3 linked regions of the Rhinolophus ferrumequinum genome follow. The protein of the gene in region 1 interacts with the protein of each later gene in a biochemical or structural test. Links are inferred from orthologs where the notes say so. Each region holds a gene or a part of one and is shown on either strand. Other genes may lie near its edges. The genes, in order: MTOR, RPS6KB1 and EIF4EBP1.

The links.
Region 2: of the proteins of MTOR (region 1) and RPS6KB1, one has a biochemical effect on the other in vitro, tested with the Homo sapiens proteins (18 studies listed by BioGRID and IntAct, with this or other methods). The link is inferred for Rhinolophus ferrumequinum from reciprocal best matches to the Homo sapiens genes MTOR and RPS6KB1.
Region 3: of the proteins of MTOR (region 1) and EIF4EBP1, one has a biochemical effect on the other in vitro, tested with the Homo sapiens proteins (29 studies listed by BioGRID and IntAct, with this or other methods). The link is inferred for Rhinolophus ferrumequinum from reciprocal best matches to the Homo sapiens genes MTOR and EIF4EBP1.

What each region holds. Positions count from the first base shown.
Region 1 is NC_046292.1:7,570,170-7,578,099, reverse strand, and holds the start of MTOR (serine/threonine-protein kinase mTOR), read left to right. Parts: upstream 1-4,907; 5' UTR 4,908-5,039; intron 5,040-6,961; 5' UTR 6,962-6,975; coding exon 6,976-7,137; intron 7,138-7,755; coding exon 7,756-7,864; intron 7,865-7,930. Other genes in the region: UBIAD1 (ubiA prenyltransferase domain-containing protein 1), read right to left, coding at 660-1,188. UniProt on the Homo sapiens protein: Serine/threonine protein kinase which is a central regulator of cellular metabolism, growth and survival in response to hormones, growth factors, nutrients, energy and stress signals.
Region 2 is NC_046304.1:26,277,177-26,284,712, forward strand, and holds the start of RPS6KB1 (ribosomal protein S6 kinase beta-1), read right to left. Parts: upstream 3,005-7,536; 5' UTR 2,866-3,004; coding exon 2,725-2,865; intron 2,247-2,724; exon of another isoform or gene 2,126-2,246; intron 1-2,125. Other genes in the region: TUBD1 (tubulin delta chain), read left to right, coding at 4,234-4,405, 5,943-6,090, 6,858-7,074. UniProt on the Homo sapiens protein: Serine/threonine-protein kinase that acts downstream of mTOR signaling in response to growth factors and nutrients to promote cell proliferation, cell growth and cell cycle progression.
Region 3 is NC_046287.1:61,504,020-61,511,131, reverse strand, and holds the start of EIF4EBP1 (eukaryotic translation initiation factor 4E-binding protein 1), read left to right. Parts: upstream 1-4,016; 5' UTR 4,017-4,099; coding exon 4,100-4,244; intron 4,245-7,112. UniProt on the Homo sapiens protein: Repressor of translation initiation that regulates EIF4E activity by preventing its assembly into the eIF4F complex: hypophosphorylated form competes with EIF4G1/EIF4G3 and strongly binds to EIF4E, leading to repress translation.

The sequences.
Region 1 (7,930 bases):
AAGGAGTCACCTAGCAAACTAGCTGAAAGTATTAGCTGTACAATTTTGAGCTCATCAAAGTTAATTCCACTAAAATTTGAAACTGTGGCATGATAATATATGACCTACAAAAAGGAACTAGATACAAAAAAAATCCATATATTTTTCCATATATATGTATATATACACAGAGGGTGCCAAAAAAATGTATACACATTTCAAGAAAGAAAAACGGTATTAAAATTGTAATAATATTTACCGATAACAAAGATGAATACAAGTCACATTTGATTTCTGCAATTACAAGAGGTGCTCAAAGTGGTTACCATCGGCGTCCAGACACTGCTGATTACAGAGAACTACTGCTTGAGCAATGTTGACCAAATTGTCCACTTGTATATACTTTTTTGGCACCCCCGGTGTATATAGAGATATAGCTATATAATATACATATAAAAATTTTCATTTCTAACATCCAAAAGCCAAGCCAGGATCTTCTCAACCCACTACAATTTTCAAAATAATCCACATGATCCACACAATCTAGATTTCACATAAGTGGCCTAATTGAGAAAAGAATCTTTGACCCATCATCCCTAACCCTATAACTCCTACACAAAGCAGCAGTTTCTAGCACATGCAACTAAGACCTCCAGCACAGGAAACCTGCTAGTTCTTACCTCCTGTGTAGAGGAAGGAGCCAGAAAGGCCTCCAAAGTAGATGAGAGCCAAGTGCTCCAGTTTCAGAGGGGACATGTAGTAGAGGCAAGCGGCACAGACACAGCCCAAAGTGTACAGGAAGACTCCAAACCGCACAACATCCTGGGGCTCCAAGATTCGGTCCACCAGGGTCCTGTCATCACTCTTTTTGTGGTCAATACCCTTGGAAAAGTCATAGTAAGTGTTGACCAAATTGCCAGCCCCGTGCACAGCCAGGACTGCCACGGCACAACCCACCAACAGCCTGGGATCCAGGACGCCCTGGGATCGGTAGGCCAGGGCACTGCCCAGGGCCACCGGGGTGAGTGAGGCACTGAAGCTCCAGGGCCGCAGGGCCAGCACGTAGGAGGCGCACTTCTGCCTCCAGGAACGCTGGAGGGGCCTGTCCCGCTCCGGACAGTCGTTCCCTAGCAGGTCCCTGTCCCCGGCCTTGGCCGACTCTCCCGTCCGGATGCTAATCTTCTCCCCTGGAACTTGCGAGGCCGCCATGGAGGCTGCACGTGGCTGAGCTCAAATGTTAATAGTGAGCCACGCACAGAACAGCGATTGCCGCGGGACCAGGAGGGGCGGGGTGGGACCGCCGGACCTGACCTTCTTCGGTTCCGCCCCGGGGCAGGGCTGGGGAGGCGGCGGGGCCCCGGGGCAGCAGCGAGCGGGCCTGGCAACCCACGAGGCCGGGTGGCACCGCTCGGGCTTCCTGTCACCTGGGCGAAGCCTGTCTCCGGACCCCAGCCCGGCGCTAGAGCCCAAAGCCGAGAAGCACACACTTCCTCGGGACTACCGGGACCGCCATCTTGTGCGCCCGCCTCTGGAGGCCGGCCCGGAAACAGGGGCTGGCCGCGCGCGCTGGGCCGGCCGGGCCGGGCGGAGCCAGGGCTGGGGAGCCGGCGGGAAACCCGCAGTCCAGCCCTTCCTTCGCAGAGGAGGAGCGCGCGCCCAGCGGCTGCGCCCAGTCTCGGTTAGCATCACAAGATCCACCAGGAATGCGTGTGGCTTTCCGACTTAGCAAGAGCTTTCACTCATCGGAAGAGGACTCATTCATTTCTTTTCATGCAACAAGCATTTATTGAGCACGACTGTACGCAGCAGTGAACATAATGGACAAAATCAGGGAGCACATTGAGGGAGATGAGCACATCCCTTCTAGATGAGAAACTTGAAGCTCTGAAATGGGAAATGATGCCTAAGAAATTATTCACTCCAATAATAATCACGACAGCAAAAATTCCCGCTTTCTATTGTACAATTACCAATGCCACATACACTGCAATAACCTGCCTGCCTTTTTAGCCACATTTTAATTTAATATTCGTACAAATATCTGCCCACCCCACCCTATCAGGTGGCCAGCTCTGTGTCTTCATTGCCCATCTTCTGCGAGCTTCTGTAGCTCCTTCTGACTGGAGAAAGCCAATTGTTAGATTTTGGGGAATTTTGTCAGCCGGTCATGAAGCACATCCATTATTAAAAATCAAACTACACAAACTTACAATTAGATAAATTATATTAAAAACAAAGGTAACAAATACTCAAAACATTACTTCCTAATTACTTCACTATGTTTTACCATTTATACTCTTTAGGTTGTTGACATTTGTTGTGGAAATACTATATAACAAGGTGCTACTGCTCATCTCTTCCTAGCTTTTCATTCAGTGACATCAGTTGACAGCTTGAAATCTGCCCTAGTGGGAGTATTTATACCACACAAATCAGCACATGCTTGATAATTGTTTTGTTGATCACCTAGACTTAAGAAAGTGAAGGGGAAAAGTTAATAATGCCAATTAAATTCACAAGTGTGTCAACTCTGTAGCTGTTACATTATGAATAGCAGCAAAAATTTTATGAAATATTCTTCCAGGATTGGAAAATTATTATCCATCCAGCTCAGCAAAGAAGCCTTCATGTCGTTGACAAACTAGTGAATTCTCAAAATATCTCTAAATTAATTCACTTTCCTCTTACTCATTAACATAAAAGAAAGTATCTACCAACATTCATGTTGGAACTACACTCATTGATCAATTGCAAACATAGGGAGGCTACAGAAAACCACAAAAAGCATCCTGTTAGACTCAATTGGCTATGTGCAATTTACAATGAGAAGTATTGTGTATTTATTAAGAATTTCAAGACAGAATATTACAACCTCACAGATCACAATAGCCGTGAAACCAGCCCTATATATACACGTATATTCCTGTCCCCACTTACCAGCCAGCTGGTTGTTAAAGATTTACAACTTTAGCACGTAGCACATATTGCATGCTGGACAAACCCAACTGTCCTATCCTGCCAAATCAGATGAGAAAAAGAAGCAGGTATTTTTAGATCCTGGCTCCATCACTTATGAACTCTAAGATCCAATCCTTCTGTATGCCAGTTTACTCATGGATAAAGTATAAAGTGGGAACAATACAACCTGCCTCTTAGATATGTTCAGAAATAAAAGTAACAACATTTATTGACTGTTCACATGTGTTATATAGTGTTTTAGGTACTTTACATGTATTAATGTTTAACCCCCACAACACTGCCTGCTGAGGTACATATATTATAATCCTTCCAGTTCTATAAATAAGGACATAGATACATAGAGATTAAATACTTGCTCATACAGTTAGTAAGTTTTGGAGCTAAGTTTCAGATTCAGTTACTTTGACTCTGCCCTACTTTTAACCAGTACTCAATAATGTCCACCAAAATGCCTGATACTTTGTAAGTGCTTGATTAATATTAGTAATAGATTATTTTAACATAATGGATAAGAAAGCTCTTTGTAAACTTGAAAAAGAAACCTACAAATGCACTGGTTACTGTTGCTATAAAACCATCTTTGTCAGTTAGAAAACAGAGCCTTATCGTGTCTTAGAGTGGCAAAAATTTCATATGAAATGAAAATTGGTACCTCCCTTATAGAGATCAATTTCATAATATCCATCAAACTACACGTGCATTTACCCTCTGACCCTGGATACCCATTTCTGGATTTTTTGGTATAGCTGCCAGGGAATAAAATTATATACATATGTACAAAGGAATTCATTGCAGCATCATTAGTAATAGCAAGAATTTGGAAACAACACAAGTGTCCATCAACAGAGGACTCGAAAAATAAATTATGGTACATCCATGTAATAGAATACTACTATGGAGCTATAACAACAACGAAGGAACAAGGAAGCTTTCTATATAGTAAGATAGAAAGATCTCTAAGGTACACTAAAATTTTAAAAGTGCAGAACAGGGATCAGTAGGTGGCTCAGTTGGTTAGAGCACGAGCTCTCAACCACAGGGTTGCCGGTTCAACTCCCTCCAAGGGATGGTGGGCTGCGCCCCCTACAACTAACAACGGTGACTGTGGAGCTGAGCTGCGCCCTCCACAAGTAAGACTGAAAGGACAATAACTTGACTTGGAGCTGACGAGTCCTGGGAAAAACACACTGTTCCCCAATAAAAAGTCCTGGAAATACAGTGTTCTTCAATAAAGCCCTTCCCCAATCAAGTCCTTCCCCAATAAAAAAATCTTTAAAAAAAAAAGTGCAGAACAGTGTATATAGTATAACAAAAGGGGAAAATAAAAATGTTTATACTTGCTTGTATTTACATAAATAAAATCTAGGGATATGTTAAGTAAGAAAATAAGTAGTGAAGAGGCAGGGGTGGAGCACAAAATTATATATTGTGATAAATGTAATTTTTATTTATTTTGAGATTTGAACAGTGAATACATTATATTGGAAAATGTTTAATGATTAAATATAGAGATGTTGAACACAAATAAACAATGTGAAATTCAGAGGAACAATTTTCACAGAAGAACCAATGCAATGAAAAGATTCTCGGGTCCATAAGTAGCGCTAGTCTGGAAACACACTCCTCTTAGAATTAAGCCGGGCGAGTTCGCGAACCCCCGCCTACCGCCGCTACCAGGCAGCCGACTAGGCACGGCGCAGCTCCGAGGCAGAGGGGAATAATAGTACCGATGCACCGGATGTGTGCGTGGAAGTGACTGAAGTCAACTCACCACTGATTGGTTCTCCGGAGTGGACTTAAGCCTCCTTTCGCCTGCCACTGGCCGCGTAGTTTGTCTATTTGAGCAGTCCCCGCCCCCTGGAGAAGCCGGGTCCCGAAGCTTCACTTCTCCTTCATTACTATTGGTGTGTGTTTCAATCCATCTTCGCCTTACGCCTGCCGATTGGTTCTTAGGTCTGGGAGCCAGCCCTCCCTGCCGCCGGCTTAGAGGACAGCGAGGAAGGCGGGTGGTAGGGCCCCGGGCCTGAAGCGGTGGTACCGGCGCTGGTGGCGGCAGCTGAGGCCTTGGCCGAAGCCGCGCGGTGAGTCTGGAGCCTGGCACCGACCCATGCAAGGCGGCGGAATGTCCAGACCCACAGCCAGCCTGGTCTGTGGAGGGCCCGGGGAAGCCGCCCTTCTGGGCCCTGGGGTCCCTTCAGAACTGGCCCCAGACTTGGGCGCCGCCTGAGCCCTTAACCCCCACCCTGCGAGGCAACGCCCACCTCCTCCCGGACCCCCAGGAGACCCCTGGATCCTTGAGCCTGCCGTGCGTCTCTGGCTGCGCGAAGGCCGGCCCATCAGCTCCGGTACTATCGGGGAGCCTTTGGGTCTCCTTGTCCGTCAGTCACCCCTTCTTCGGAGCCACCTTACAAATTGTCCTCAGAGAAGACCAGCGTCAGTCTCAGCCCCTTGCACTCCAGTCTGGAGACTTCTCAAGGAACCTTTACCCGGAGCTGAGCTCGGTTCCATCCTTGGGTTTCATCCCTCTGCCTCCCCCGCCCCCATCCCTAGTTTCAGCCACCCAACTTGAACTTCTGTAAGCCCTCCCCAGTTCCCTTAGGGCATTTGACTTCCAGCATTTTAATTGCATTCTGCCTGGAGCAGATGGCCTGTGGGCCTTAGACCTTAAAAAGATAGGCTGGTTCTTTCCTGAGAATAGAAATTCCTTGCCAGCCTCCCTCCCCGTCATCACAGAGGCGCGGTCACACACCCTATAGTAGTTTTCTCATCAGGGATCCTTGGATATTCCCTCCCCTGGAGGAGGACATTTCCTTCTGCAGTCTTTTTTCTGGCACTGGAGTATTTAAAAGGTTTTCAAAACCAATGATTCCGTGTGTTTTTTTCCCTTGACATCGCAAATTCTTTCAAAAATAAGAATTTTGAAAAATTGATATTCTACTATAACCTGAACATACCTAAGTTAGGTATATATGTTACTCCCGTAGCAGTCTGGGCCAACCCCTATTCTGGCCACTTTATTGTGGTTGCCTGATTACTTGTATTTCCCCTTAGATTGTAAGCTCATTGAGGGAACGGACAGGTACATAATTGAGGAATGAATGAATGGTTTCAGGAACTAATCAGTCTCTTTTAGCTCACATTTCAAGTACTAGTATTCTACAGAACTGCACTGTCCAGTACGATAACCACCAGCCATGTGGCTTAGAGCGCATGAAATAATAACCATGTGGCTTAGAGCGCATGAAATGTGACTAGTCTAAATTGAGATTGCCGTTAAGTGTAAAATATACATTAGATTTTGGAGACTTGGTACAAAAAAGAATGGAAAATATATCAATTTTTTATATTGGTAACATGTTGAAATGATAATTTTGGGTATATTGGATTAAATAAAATGTATTAATATTGCCTGTTCTTACCTTTTTGATATGGCTACTAGGAAATTTAAAATTACATTTGTGGTTTGTGTTATATTTCTGTTGGACAATGCTGCTATGGAATAAAAATTTCCCTCTTTAAATTGAACTCTCTGAGGAAAGGCAGTCTTAGGCATGTTTTATTCTCTCTCTACCTCCCCACCTCTAGTTTCTGGCACTATAATAATAGCTAACAGAACTCACTGTGTGCCCGGCACTGTTTTAAATACTTTTTAACATGTATTAACTCATTTAATCCTCACGTCAACCCTATGAATTAGGTAGTAGTATTCCCCTATTGCAATGGAGGAAATAGATATTTCAAGTATCTTCTCAAGGTACATAGTTTTGGACTGGATTCAAATGCAGGTAGTGTGGCTCTGCAGCCGGCAATTTGACCCTGTTACTACGCTGCCTCTGAAACATCAGTCATTATTGAATAAATAGTGGCTTTCTCCACTTTCCTTAGTGAAGTCTCCCTGCCTGACATGGACAGGGTGGAGATCGGTATGGAGAAACTGGAGTCGTAAATAAACTCACTGCCCTAGTTTGTTAACCAGGATTTTAAAGGAAGCTTCTCTTCAAAGAACCTCAGGGCAAGATGCTTGGAACCGGACCTGCTGTCGCCACCACAGCCGCCACCACATCCAGCAACGTGAGTGTTCTGCAGCAGTTTGCCAGCGGCCTGAAGAGCCGGAATGAGGAGACCAGAGCCAAAGCTGCCAAGGAGCTCCAGCACTACGTCACCATGGAGCTTCGAGAGGTGGGGGCTTCTGCCATCTGGGGCCATCCCTGGCGTGTTGGGGCAAAGTGTGCCATCACTGGCTTAGATTTCTTTGGACAGCTCAGTGAGATTCTGTTTGAGAGATGCACCCAGTTTCTCGTGTCATAGAATGGGCAATTTCCTTTGCCGTGGTTACACAGTTCTGTGGCATTTCCTATTTTGTAGTGACATTTTAGGAGTCAGCATAGAGAGTTATTTTTAAAATTTGTTTTCTTTTCCCCACTGCATTCCAGATCTTCAATTCTTTCTGCTTGATAACAGTGGTCGGGACGGGTTTGGAGAGCTGGTAGCTTGGGGCTTTTTAAACAGTAACCAGACTGGAGGTCAGGGACACTGTCTCGTTCATCCTTGTACCCCTGGGACAGGACGTGGCTTGCCGTGGAATTTACTCAATAAGTATGTTAAACAGACAGGCGAATTGAGAGTTCAGTTGCTCTACAGTTTAAAACTAGAAATGGGCAGTAGCTTTGTCACGTCTGGTTTGAACTGTACCTGCTGGCTACCTCTCACGTCCTAATCTTTGGATGTGACCCCTCACCCCCATCCTCACCATCAGGGCGACATTAGAAATTGTTCTGAGTTCATCCTCCTTTGCAGATGAGTCAAGAGGAGTCTACTCGTTTCTATGATCAGCTGAACCATCACATTTTTGAACTGGTTTCCAGCTCAGATGCCAATGAGAGAAAAGGTGGCATCTTGGCCATAGGTAAGGACAGAGTCTTTGGTGACAATAACAACTGGGAATAAAGGACTGTTTACCTTTGAGTCCACT
Region 2 (7,536 bases), on another chromosome or scaffold:
AATACATATTACTTACTAATACAGACCGACTCAGTGTAGGCATGTATCTCTAAATAGGACCAATGATTTAATTTAAAAAAAAAAAAAGATACAAAGCTCTAAAAGTACAGCCCTTCTAGTATAACTGTATTTATTAAGTCTCTAGGCATAGAGGAGAGTAAACTTGAATGATTGGTTCCTTGGCAATGCGTAGCACTGACAAGCTTTATTTCCAAGAACTAGCTAACTGCTTAATATGCCATGATATTTTGGAGTACTGTATACACTTTATCTAATGCAATCATCATTTTACAGAGAAAAAAAAGTGTTAGAGATTAAGCAATTTGTTCTAGGTCACATCGTCAGTGAGCATACCTGGAAGGATCTGAATTCACTTTGACACACCACAAAGAGGTACATTATGAACAAGACTAATAAATGCAATGAAAAAGCTGTACAGTGAAGCTTGCTGAATTGAGTCACAAGACACTACCACCAGTTACCTATATGGCCTTGGGCAATCATCTCTCTGGCCTATGCCTCAGTTTCCTTACTATCAAACGAAGAAGGGAGGCTACTCTGATATGTTACCAATGGTATCTGATATGATACCAATGTTTTAAAAAGTTTGTGTTAAACTAAAGATTATAAATTCACAAGCAGCCAGAATATTACTTATATAATTATAAATTCACAAAAGCCCGATTTTCCAAAAATCTAAACTTGTCTCATTTTTTCAAAATTTTACAATTTTATTTTAGAGGAACCTGGATGTCACTTAATCTCCTTGGGTGGCCAGCCCAATCCCACTCCAACTCTTTTCCACCGTGAGGCACCTATTAGAATAACACACTCAAAAGAAACATTTTCAACTCCAAAAGCATTGCTAAAATATAATATAATTTGCCGAAAGCTTTCTCAAAGTCCTCTTTAATTACCTTTGCTCTTTCCCCAAAGTTCCTCTCCCTAGAATAATGGCCACATTTCTTTCTCTTTCCTATTTCCATCAATTTTTCTGGCCTCCTCTTCCACACCCTCTCACAGTCCTATTTGCTTGTACCCAGCAAAACAAATGTCCAGGAATAGGCCCAAATCCTACGAGGTTCCAGTTCATAACAGGAATCTTAATACAGTATTTTACTTCCAACTCCTTTAACTTCTCCTGATGAACCCATGGCCTGGAAATTCTATCAGTTCACCTAATGAAGATTTTATAAAGCATCCTTCCTATCAAGTTTTCTCCCCTGCCCTGCTTCAAAGCCACTGCCATATGGAGCCAATATAATTGATGAGAGGATTATATATGTAATGAAAGTAATCCCATTTTGTTTCCAATTGTAATTAGTGTATCACATGTTCAATTAAGAGGCAAACTGGAATTCCATATGCAAACATATTAAAAAATACACATCTCAATACCCACCTTCCAAACTGTGTAATTTTGATTTAGACTCATTTGATTATGAAAAGATCAACTATTTTAGCCCAGTTAGTTTCATCAAGCTTCCAAAGTTCTGTATACATAGCATCTCAATCTTTTGTCAACAAGCAGGGCACAACTTACTTGCCAGAGGAAGAAAAATGAGTGAGGGAAAGAAAGGGAAGCCCCTTATGTAGTTAGAACAAACATCTTACATCAGTCATCAACCCATGTGTACTCATCTAGACAATGGAATTTAGACTCTAAATTACCACGAGATTATACATGATCAATTGCCCAGAATTAGTTATTTTGTATAACAACACCATTCTTTAACTTAGGTATAATTTGTGATTTTTTCAATAAATTTGTCTTGAAATACGAGTGCTATTCCATAAAGAATAACAAGCTACTAAGACAGCAAAGGTGAAACCAAGCTATGCATTAGGAAAAACAATTCTAAATTTAGCACCCTAAATTACAGCAAGGAAAGCCCTCACACCACCATTCACAAGTCTCCGTTCAAGCAATTTATTTTTGGCAAGCCAAATCACAGCTGTCAACGCTGGGTTTTTTTCCACCCCAAAATTACAGAAAGTATTTTGAAAAAATGTAGACATCTTCAACTGGGGGAAATGTAAGTTACAAACACCGTGTGTCGTTATAAAAGCGTTTTTTAAAAAGTCACACGGAAGGGGGTTAAAAAAAAAAAGCAAACAAACAAACCCTGGAAGATGCAGCAGAGCCCCCTTGCTCCCGAAATAAAACTCCTGGTGGCTGTAACAGCAGAGGCAGCGCTACTCCCGACAGAAGTTTTCAGCTGTCACTTCTAACAGCTGAGCGCTTCCTAGGAGAGAAGCGACAGGCCGAGAAGAGAGGTGGTTGTGGGAGGTCTGAAGATTTAATGCTTGAAATCTTACACTCGGAGGGAAACCCTTCCGCACTTCACCTGCACTTACGGGACACCCAGCAAGCGCAGTCCCCCTCCCCCAACACACGCTACACCACTCACGGCCCGCCACACTCAAGTCGAACAGCTGGAGAAATCGACCACGCGCCTTTTCGTTCGCTCCACAGACTGCTCCGGGCTGCGCTGATCTAGAGCTAGGGGCGCGACCTGCACCTGCGAGCCCCGCAGCGGCCTCACACCTAGGGCCAGGTCCGCCCCGCCCGCTCCCCTGCCTCGGGCCGCGCGGCGCTTCAGCTCCTCCTGGAGACTTCTCGCGCCCCCTGGGTCTCTGCGCTCTCGGACGCGCCCGACTTCCAGGGCCCGCGCCGCCGCCCCAGCCCTGTCACCTCGGGCCCCCCGGGACCTCGGGCCTCACCCCCTCCTCCAGCTCATCCTCAGAGCCCGCGTCCTCTGGCTGGTCCAGGTCTATGTCAAACACTCCTGCCATGTCCTCAGCTTCCCTGTCTCGGAAGTCCGGCGCTGGGTAAAAGCCGTCCCGCCTCCGTCGTCGCCTCATGGGCCCGGACCCGCCGCAGCCACTGCCGCCGCTGCCGCCATCACCGGCTGCTTAGGCTCAGTGCGTCTGCGCCTAGGCCTTAGACTTGCTCCTCAAATTCAGCGCTAGAGCATGCGTACAGGGTTTTTTGAAGCCGAACTGTGGGCAATGAACATGCGTAGAACTATCCCCAAGAGCCAGGTACGGGCAGAAACATGCGCAGAACCCCAGCCGAAGCCTCTCTTGGAATCTAGACCATGCGCATTGTCAGCTAAAGCTTTTGATGGACAGTGAGCATGCGTAACGTGTCTGAAGTTGATAAATTGAAATTGAACATGCGTAATTAACCTTTCTGAATAGGGAAAAAAAAAAAGCCCACAACACTCTTCGTTTGTGGAACATGCGCATTCGTTTTCCATAGCTTTTTGGGTGTTGAAAGTGAGCATGCGCATGATGGTCCTCTGAAGTTTGAACAGGATAGAAACGGCTGGTCCTGGGGCTGTCAGTGAGTGGGCTTAATGGGGAACTCCTAGGGTTGGTGGGGAAAGGGAGTCTTGGTTTTGCTATTTACTAGTTCAGTAGCCTTGCGAAAGTCACATAACCTTTCAGAAACTCAGTTTCCTTATCTATAAAATGAGAATCATGGTACCTAGTTTGCAGGGTTGTTTGAAAATTGTAACTGCAGAGTGTGACTCACAAGCCACTGCTCTTTTCACTGCTGCATAGACCTGGTGTGAGGCGTTCACCAAAACTTGTTTCTTTTCATTGTTAAAAAATAATGAAGACCTGCTCTAATGTTTCATCTGGTCTAGTTTTTCCAAGCTTCATCTTCCTTGCTGTCCTACCTGAGCTAAACACAAAGTCTTCCTTATAAGTGTTACTGTAGTTACCAGGCCAGAAAGGTGATTGGTGAAGAAAGTCATTATTCAGAAGAGAATTAATGTTAAGTACATGTACTAACTTCTGAACTAATTTCTGCATTCTGTGTGTTCCTATGGTGGGAAATGTATAGTATTTATTCCTTCAACTAGCATTCATCTTGTTTTGTTTAAATGTATACATAGGAATATAGTGATTAGAAATCAGATTTTGGAAACTATTGAGCTGTGTGTGAATGGATTTGGGTACAGTAAATCCCAAATCCCAAAGCCATATGGAGAAAGAGAATAATTTCCTTGAATGATTGGCATCTTAGACAACATAGCTATTTCATCTATAAAACCATATACATATATGGCATTTTAAAATTATATATATTTTATTGATGTATATTAACATATAGCATTTTATTCTTTATTAGTAATGTAGTTCTCAACACCTATCTTTTTTCTATTACAGGTTGGTTCCTCACTTTTTTGAGGAAATAGGCCTAGTTTGTCAGGCCTCAACATGTCAATAGTAACACTGCAACTTGGTCAGTGTGGCAATCAGATTGGTTTTGAAGTGTTTGATGCTTTATTTAGTGACTCACACTGTCCCCAGAGACTCTGCTCTAAAAGAGAGAATGAAGCATATCAAGCGTCTTGCAAAGAAAGATTCTTCAGTGAGGAGGAAAATGGAGGTATGTGTGGTCCACAGTCCTCTTTTACTCTGACATAACCAACCACTTCAAGGCCAGGCCATCCACGTGGTGTCTGAACCCCATACTTTCCCATCTTACTAGGGAATGACTTTGCTCTTGACTCTTTGTTTCTATGTTAACAACATTTGCCCCTACCGTGGCATCTTCCCCTCAGCACAAGAGCATGCTCAGACCCTGCCAATCTAAAAACAAACAAAACGTATCTCTCGTCTATAGCTTTTTTCTTCTCTTACCTTTGCTTCTCATCTAAGATTCTCAAAGGAGAACCCTCTTTAACCAACTATAATCCTGCTTCTGCCCTTCTTCACTTCTAAAGCTGCTCTGAGAAAAGTTCCCAATGATCTCCTAATTACCAGATCCAATGACTATTTTTGTTTTAATTCACTTAACTTTTCTACTGGATTTGATAACATTAATTATAAAACTCCTCCTTACTGTCTGAAGTTTTCTTCTCCAGTGGTTGCACCGCAGGCTCTCTGTCCTGATTTGTATAGTTCTCTCTAGGCAATTTCAATTATTCTTCTAAGTGCTACATCTTTTACACTGGTGACTCTCAAATCTCTAGCCTAGCTTCTCTTCCAAGCTGCCGACTGATTAGTGGACATACTCACCTGCATCTCCCATGTGTACCTCAAATTCAACATCTCCATACCCAAGATCATTCATTATCTTTCCTTTAAAACTTGGGCTCCTACTATACACATAACATCAGACATCTGCTTAATTTACTTCCTCCATATCTCTTGAAATTCTTCTTGCCTTTCCATCTTCACTGTCATGGACTTAGTTCTGGCTCTTGTTTTCTCTCACCTGGATTGTTTCAAGACAGTCCTTCTGAGTTTCCCTGCCTACACTCTTGTGTCTATCATAGCTATCCTCCACACTGCTGTATTAAAAAAATTTTTTTTTTAAATCTGACTGTTCCTCCCCTGCTTGAACATTTTCAGTGGTTTCACATAACGTAAAAGATAAATTTCAAGCTTTGATTGCATACAAGGACTTTCAAGATCTGAGTCCTGCCTGCTTTCCATCTCCGTCCATCACTTCTACCCCCTCCTTCTCCATCTTTTGCTTCAACAATCCTAAACTGCTTGTGTGCCCTGGGTATTTTGTACCTCTGAATATGCTATTCTATCACTGTAGATTCGTCATGGGTCATATCACCTGATATAGTGATTAAGCGTCGATGTCTTTCATTTCTCCCACTAGTCCTTCTAGGGCTGGATTGATCTTCATCTCTGTGTTCCCAGCACAGTACATGTTACATTATGTAAGAATGCAACAGATGTTTGTAGACCTGACCCAGTGATTATTTTAGCCCACACTGATTCATCCTGCTTAGCAGAATGCTAGGCATTCTGAACCATCTGTACATACCTGCTGCTGCCCACCTCAATTTCTAAGCAGTGTGACAGATCTTTGTATCCTCAACCTTTGGGGTTTTTTTTTGTACTTAGGAGTTTATGCTCTGTGTTAACCCAAATAAGACTGTGAAATATTTTTCCCCCCTCTCTAGTTCCAATTGCTCGAGCTGTACTTGTTGACATGGAACCTAAAGTTATCAATCAAACATTACTAAAGGCTGCCCAGTCTGGCCGATGGAAATATGGCCAGCATTCAGGCTTCTGTCAAAAACAAGGTTCTGGAAACAACTGGGCATATGGGTAAGAATAACTCATGATTTTCAGTTTAGGTACAGCTACATAGTCAATTAATAAATAGTGTAGTTACAAGTAAAAAGTTGATATACTGAGCAAAGAATCTTTAAATTGCTATTTTAAAATTTAGGGTGTGACTTCACTCAAAAGAAATTCTACCTTACGTATGTATATGCTTCAGGTCCAAACAATGATGAAACCAAGGATCTCTTGCAGTAGGGTTTTCCACTTCTTCACAGTCGTTCTGCCAACTAACTTATTATCAATATAATATCTTTATCTGGCAGGTATTCCAGCTAATATGGGATACAGCAGGGCAGTAGTGTTTCCTGGGTTCTTTGGAAAATTTCAGTGCCTAGGGCTCAATTCGAGAAATTCTGATTTAATTGGTTTGACATGAAGCCTGGATGTTGGGATTTTTCAAAGCTTCCTTAGGTGATTGGAATGTGCAGCAAATTTCAAGAACCACTGTTTAAGGTGTATTGTTAAGAACATCGAATATTATGTTGTACCATAAACTTACAGAACTACCTGGTAATTGAAGTCTACAGCTAAAGGAGTGGCCTATAAAAGAGAATTTCTGTACCCAGTAAATTCACTCTCTTAACAGTCCTATCTACCTGTTAAATATCTTTAACTTGAATATTTTAAATTTTGTGCCTTTCATGAGAGTTAGTTCACTTCCCTAGGTTTAAAAAGACTTCTCTATTCTGCATTGCATCTCTCTGGTTAAATTGAAAGGTGTTTGCATTTGTTCCTTTTGCATTGCATAGTTACTCTGTTCATGGACCCAGGCATGAAGAACCTATATTGAACCTAATCCAGAAGGAAGCGGAGAAATGTGACTCTTTGAGTGGTTTTTTCATCATAATGAGTATGGCTGGGGGTACAGGATCAGGACTAGGAGCCTTTGTTACACAGAATTTACAGGATCAGTACTCCAGCTCTTTGAAAATGAATCAGATTATATGGCCTTATGGAACTGGTGAGGTATGAACTGAATTTTTTATATTTTGTATTCCTTGCTGTTGAAATCAATGTAGGTAAAAGACTGATCTGACCCTTTCTTTGGAAATGCTAAGTTACTGTGTCAGGAGTGATTATGCAATATGGTAGTTGCGTGAACAATTCATTTAACTTTGCTTTAACTTTTCCAAACAAATGAAGTGTCCCTGTTTTTAAAATTTTCAAAGAAGACAATTGTGCATTTTCTCTTAGGAATCCATTCCTGAGTTAATCCTTCTGTCTCTAGTATGTAAAGCAGGGACCTTGACTTCATGTTAGGGGGCATCATGCCATTGCCAACCTTCAAAGAATTTTCATTTCTCTCCATTACAAGGAAATTTCTATATAGGCCCATTTCTTGTTGACCAGCCTAGTAGGAGAAATACTAAAACAGAGGTGAGATAAGTCACTATTGTAAATTATGTAGGAAGAAAGTGTGATAGTAAT
Region 3 (7,112 bases), on another chromosome or scaffold:
TTTACAAACCCTTGAGCCCAGGAACCATATTAAAACGTTGAATCCACCATTGGGAATCCTTCATGTTAGCTTGTGTGTCCTGTCGCTATGGCCCTATCATCTTTAGAAACTCCTATGTATGATAAGGACTTCCTATACTTTCTGCCCCAGATCAAGATTCAATCATTTTAAAATAAAAAATAAAAAAAAACAGGCAGATTCTCCATTGACTCGAGAATAACACTATGGATGAAAAGAAAGAGATCTTACTGTGAGAAATAGCCTTGTCACTGAGTTTATGGGAAGCAAAGCAGAACTGAGAGTCACGGCGTCACCACTGGTGAGCGCCAAGGGGCTGAATATTGGGAGCCAAAAGGCACAGAGTGGAGGTGTTCGTCAGCCGATAACTCGGGTTTGCAAGCAGGGCTAAGCAAAATGACAAAATAGGAGAGAGAGAGAGAAAACAAACATGTTAACCAGGATGAGGATGGACAAGGCCCACGAGGCCACTCACCAAGCCCACCAGGCCCCTCCAGGCTTGCTCAGGGCTAGTCTTCATTCCAATCACATCGATTAACCTCAAAAAGCATTTCCTACCAGAAAGACCGGTCCTGTGTGCCTGTCAGTGAAGAGAGCATGACTGCATGCAGGGATACTGCAAATCCATCTGCAATGGAAACAGAGCTCCAGAAGAAAGGCTGAATCGTATGCGGGGCGGGAAGTATAGAAGAAGAGCCCAGGACCCCTTATCATATAAGAAAGTACAGGAACCTCCAAAGACCCCTGGGGCCATGGTGACAGGACATGCTAGCTAATGTGAAGGACTCCCAATGTTGAAGGGGGAACATTTTCAGCATCAAATAACATTAGGAAAGGATTATTAATAAAACAAACATGCCAGGTCCCTTCTCTCCCACTACTTCCCTTACTCCCTAACAACCCCTCCCTAGCCTAAGGGGCTTTGAAGTCAGTCTCTATTGCACTATGACTCAGTGAATCTGGAAGCATCTCTCACTCTTACAGCTCCTGTTACTCCCTCCCCAGGCAGCCACTCCTGGGGACCCTCTCTTGGCACTTCCCACTGCTCCAGTTCAACAGATCTGTGTTGAGACAAACCCTGGGGAAGGGCCAGGGCCTGCTTAGGTCTGTTCTTTGTTTCCATTGATATTTTTTGTTAACTTCACAAAGCATTTCATACCAGAAGGCCTATGTGCCTGGTTGGCTATCCAGAAAAATTCTACTTAAAATCTGCCCCTTGTCCCTCCCTCCCTAGAGGTCAAGTAGAGCAAGATGGGATGGAAACTGTTCTCCACTGTGTCCCGCTCCTTATCTTATTCTTCTTGAAAACATCCCTTGCCACATTCTGCTTTATTTTGACCTCCAGCTAGAATTGCCAGAACAGTCATAAGCTAATAGATTTAAAAGACCTTCGAAGAGAAGACAGAAATAAACATGCAGCTGAGCACCCAGATGTATTATCAATAGCCTCTCTAAGGTAAGGGCTGTCAAGAGTGAGAATGAGTAAACACATGCCACTGGTGCCACCAATTAATCTTTTTAAAAGACAACTCTCATCATGCCCTATAGAAGTTGATACTTGATTATAAAACTTGATATGAATGAGTCCCTGCTCTATAAAGAGGTAGAAACCATCAAAGGTGAAATGGCTGGACAGGAAACAGAATTCAGCAGTGAGTTTGTCAAAGACAAAAAATGTCACTGCTGAGCGTTCTCAGAGATCTTTAAAGCCACCCCCATCCCCCCTCTGTGACAGATAATGAAACTGAGGCCCATAAAGGGGAAGGGACTTGTCCAAGACTGAACACGTATTTAGTGGCCGCACTGGGGCTAAACCCACACCCCTCAGCCCAGGCCAGTGCTCCTCCTATATCCACGAGGGTCCCCAGGTCTAGTCAGCCCTCAGCCCTCTGGCTCCTCTAAAGCCCTTAGACTTTCCTCATCAGCCCTCCACAGCCCTATGAGCAGAGGTCATTGCAAGCCCCTTCCCTTCTCAGCTAACCAAACACGCAAGTCCAATGAGGCACCAGACGAAACCCCCTTTTAGAACAGTTCCTCCCAAGGGGGGAGAATGGGCGCTTTGTTTTCTAGTGTGATGAGAAAAGAGTTGGTCTGGAAGGGAGTGAGACCGGGTTCCAGTGCTGCCTCAAGCATTTTACTGCTGTGTGTTCTTGGATAAAACTCTGCTCCTCAGGATTTTTTGTTTTTGTTTATTTTTCAATAAGATGGAGGTGAATATGGTTCTGGATGATTTATAAGGTACCTGGCCATATCTAAAATTTGATGATTCCATAGTTTTTTGGGAGGAAGTTTCTGAGAAAAACTTTAAGATTGCTTTCATACCACCTCATCCTACAGCAGCGCTAACCAATAGAAATATATTACGATATATATATATATATAATTCTTATAGTCCCACTAAAAAAGTAAAAAGAAACAGGTGAAATTAATTTTAATAATAGATTTCATTTCACCCAATATATTCAAAATATTATTTCAATATGTAATTAATATAAAACAAATTATTAAGATATTTTACATTACTTTTTCACACTGAATCTTTGAAATCTAGTGTGTATTTTATACTTATGAATATGGACTGGCCGTATTTCAAGTGCTTCAGAGGCATGTGTGCCCAGTGGCTACCTTACTAGACAGGCCTAGAGTTTAACTCAGGAGTGACCTATCTTAGGCCTCCACCTCCTGTGGTCCATTCTCAAACTCCATGGTCACCAGTTAGTTATCTTTCTAAAAAAACAACACTAGGGCCAGCCCGGTGGCTCAGGTGGTTGGAGCTCCATGCTCCTAACACCGAAGGAGGCAGGTTGGATTCCCACATGGGCCAGTGGGCTCTCAACCATAAGGCTCCTGGTTCAATTCCTCAACTTCCACAAGGGATGGTGGGCTGTGCCCCCTGCAACTAACAACAGCAACTGGACCAGGAACTCAGCTGCGCCCTCCACAACTAAGACTGAAAGGACAACTTGACTTGGAAAAAGTCCTGGAAGTACACACTGTTCCCCAATAAAGTTCTGTTCCCCTTCCCCAAAAAAATCTTTATTTAAAAACAAACAAACAAAAAAAAAAAACACTAATAACCCCACTCCCCAGCTTAAAAGATCGCCGATATCTCCTCCTCTTGTAGGACAAAGTCTGAACACCCTGGCATGATTCACAATCCCACCCCAATTTTCCTTTTAAACTGTTCTCTTCTCTCCCTTTCCAAGATGTGGCGACAATGACAGAAACTGCTTGCTCACCCAGCAGGCTTTTCCGTCTTCCTTGCATTTTTTTCCTCTCCACTAAGGGATCTCCTTGAAGATTCATTGTTTCATCCACTCAAGGAGTATCTACTAAATGTCAGGCAGTCTGTGGGTCGTTGAACCCAAACAAGTCTACTTTCTTTGATCACCTACCTCTCCCCAACCCCAACCTCCATCTGGCTCAGGGTTTAGCTCTACCACCCAGCTGTGTGGTTTATCCACGTGTCCTAGCACACTGTCTCCAAAGCCGTGGAGCGAGAATTCTTGCCCATTTCTTCAACGCCCGCCACATTGTGAATGCTCAGTAAACCGAACAACAACGAGAGAAGAAACAGTCAATCCCCACTTTTTCATCTGAGAAGCTAAAGCACTGAACCAGGAGGGTTGGGGGAACATCCGGCCTGATGTCCTAATGCGGGGCTTCCTAAACTGGCCCGAGTGGTCTAGGATCCCCATACAACCGGGAGAAGCGCCCCCGACCCAGCGAGGCATTAACCTAGGCAAGCTTCCCCACTCCCCACGCCCACTTCGTCCCCGCCGGCGTGGCCTGGAGGGGCCCGGGACCTAAAGAGGCCGGCAAAAGTAGGGCGGCGCTGGCACCGGCGCTCAGTAGACTGTCGGAAAGCGGCCTCCCATCCAAGGATACAGGGAAACCCACGTGGAGGCAGAAGCTCCGAGGCGGGTGGGCGGAGGCATCGCTGGAACTACAAATCCCAAGGGGCGTCGAGCGGAAAAGACGGAAGGGACGGTCTTAGGCGGGGCCCGCGGGAGCGAGGCGGAGCAAGGCAGGAGGGGCAGGAGGACCACGCTCCTGCTGCCGGAGCTGCGCGCGGGCGACCATGTCCGGGGGCAGCAGCTGCAGCCAGACCCCAAGCCGGGCCATCCCCGCCACTCGCCGGGTGGTCCTCAGTGACGGCGTGCAGCTGCCGCCCGGGGACTACAGTACCACCCCCGGTGGCACGCTCTTCAGCACCACTCCCGGAGGTAGGCGCGGGCTCTGGGGCTCCAGGTGCTGGCGGTGGGGAGGACGGACTGGGCAGATCGGGGGACTCGGCAGCCGCCCATTGAACTGGGCAACCAGGTTCAGGGGCGCGGTGACTGGGAAGAACGGGTAAGTGGAATCAGGGAGGCAGCGAGGGCCACAGGGAGCGAGCTGGTGGCCACCTCCCGTTGCCTGCCCTCTGGGTGCGTCCTCCAGCGCCGGGTTGCAAACTGCCGCATTAGTTTCCTCCTGGTCTGAGAGACAGCTGAGTGCCTCCCACCCAAACAGATGCACACGCTTCCAGGACTGCCACATGCCGAGGCGTGCTGCCCCTCGTGGTGTTGGGGGCAGTTCTGAGGCCGAATACGGTGGGGTCTGGATGGCCCACGGATCAAGGAGAGGCTTGGCCTGGGTTTTTTAAAGGATGGGACGGGGGTTCTCTGTTGGGATAAATGCCTCATGCAGAGTCCTTTTTCCTTCTCAAGTTATCCCCCGGTTTTGTGTCGGGTATGCACCCTCTGACGAAGGTTTTGGGCTGAGGGTATGCTCCTGTGCCAGCAGCACCTCGTCGGCACCTGTGCCAGATTTCCCATTTACGCTTCTGGGATCTCCGCGGGGGGACCTGGGGCGGCCGGCTGGGCTGTGCAGAAAAACACGTTCTTCTCTCCGGGGGGAGGGGGTGCCGTGTGACCTGGCTGAGTGGATGAGGAAGAGGAAGCTGAGCTGGCACGGGTGGGGGCCAGCCTTGGGCTGCCCTCGGAAGCCAGGCATTCCCTCCCAGCCCCGAAGCCCTGGCGCACAGGCGCTGATGAAACCTGCCCGCCTGTTTGCATAATGAAATCCTCCTCGCGGCTCACCACTTCCCTCCCATCCTCTTACTGCCCTCACCCCTTTTGCCCTTCTTCCCTCCCCTACACCCGCCTGCACCGCTCCTTCTCAAACTACTCACCCGAAAGAGGCCGCAGGTCCTGGCGCTGCGCTGAGAGACCAGGGTGAGGACCGACGCAGGCGGGGCTCAGCCTCCTCTGCCAGCGTCGGGGGCCACATGCTTATTTTCTCAGGCAGCTGTCCCACCACCAACGAGCACAGCCAGATCCAAGGTCTTAGGCTGTTTGATTCAAAACATACAAAGTTAGAATTATTAGGGATCTTAGATTTTTTGTCCAGCCGTGCAATCTTATTCTACAGAACATGACACCGAGGCCCCAAAGCTTAAATGCGCGTGTTCATTGTCCAGTGTCATACTGTTTTCCCCAAAACTGAACAAAAAAACAAAAAATAGCAGCCAAGCATAGAGAGAACTGCTCTCTCTCTCCTATTAAAAATGACCTGAGGAAAAGTTCCCAGCTACTCTTCTTGCCATTCTTGACTCATTCTTGGCCAAGAATTCTCGTTCCACGGCTTTATGTAGTCCATGCTGTTCTGCTTCTTTTGCCCTCATGATGTGTCTGCCATGACCTTTCCTGACAATTTGGGGATTCTTTCAAATAAAAGTGTGAATCTGCTTGATCTGTTCAGGTGGGTACTGAGGTAGGCCTGACGGCTCAAGAAGCCCTCTTTTGCACCTTTTGTTGCTGGTTGGGGACAGATCAACTTGGAAGCAATACCCAGTGATACTCTTTATAGGAAACTCTCCACTTCTCACTTTGGACTGGGAAATGGGTGGGTTTTGGCAGACCACAGCAAATTCTCTTCTCATTGAATGTCTTTAGTTGGGAGAGGGGCGTCTGCATCGTAATGTAACTTACTTTGGGAGGCCAATTGGAAGAAATCTAGCAGTGACCTAAAGCCAGGTCTTTCTTGTCGGGTGTCCAGTGGGGAAGGTATACAGCTCACAGTCCATAACCAGAGAATCCTGACGTGTTTCTGCCTCAGTTAGCAAATCTGGCCTGCCACAGTTAGCCAAGGTGTGAAATCTTCCTCCAAAACCCATTTACCCTTCCCTTTGCCAGGGCAGAGCAGCTTAACCTAATGAGAAAAGGCCATTCTGGTGCCCTTTTGGTCTACTCTAGAGGGCTCTTACTCAGTTTTCAGTGTGCATACAAATTACCTGGAGACCTCTGTTACATGTAGATTCTGATTCTGTAGGTTCTGGGATAGGGCCTGAGATTTTGCATTTCTAACTAGGTCCCAGTGATTGATCTAAATCTCACACTCTGAGCACAGTAGTCCCTCTTTACCCATCCATGGTTTCGCGTTCCTTGGTTTATTGCCCATGGTCCAAAAATAGTAAATGGAAAATTCCAGATATAAACAATTCATCAGTTTGAAATTGTACACCATTGTGAGTTAGCAATATGAAATCTTGTGCCACCCTTCTCTCACCCTTCTCTGTCCCGCCTGTGCAGTGAATTATCCCTCTGTCCAGCATATCTACCACGTCTATGCTACATGCCCGTTAGTCACAGGGTTTGGTACTATCTGTGGTTTCAGGCATCCACTGGGGGTCTTGGAATGTAACTTCCCTCACCTTTTCAGACCTTTGGGGTCTGGTAAAAAAAAATGATGATTCTCTCAAGGTTGGGTTTGGCATCAATCTGTAAACCAGGGTCTGGCGAGAGAGTCTGCATGGGTGCTCGCACTCACTTATTTGCAGGAGGTGTCAGGAGCTGTTGAAGTAAGTGTCCAGCAGTCACTCTTGCTGGGAATGGCACTGCACTGTTTGTCCGTGGAGGGAAAGGTGCAGCAGTTGATTTGAGCCATCTCCATTTATGACTCCAGTTTACTTTCCATGGTCATTAACCTGCCCACAGGCTGAGCCACTGATCTGAAGTTAGATGTCTGGAGAATGTTAGAGAAATTTGCTGAAGGGAGTGCCATTTATGAATATTTGAGTCTGGAGAGTCTTGAAAATCTCTAATGACACTATA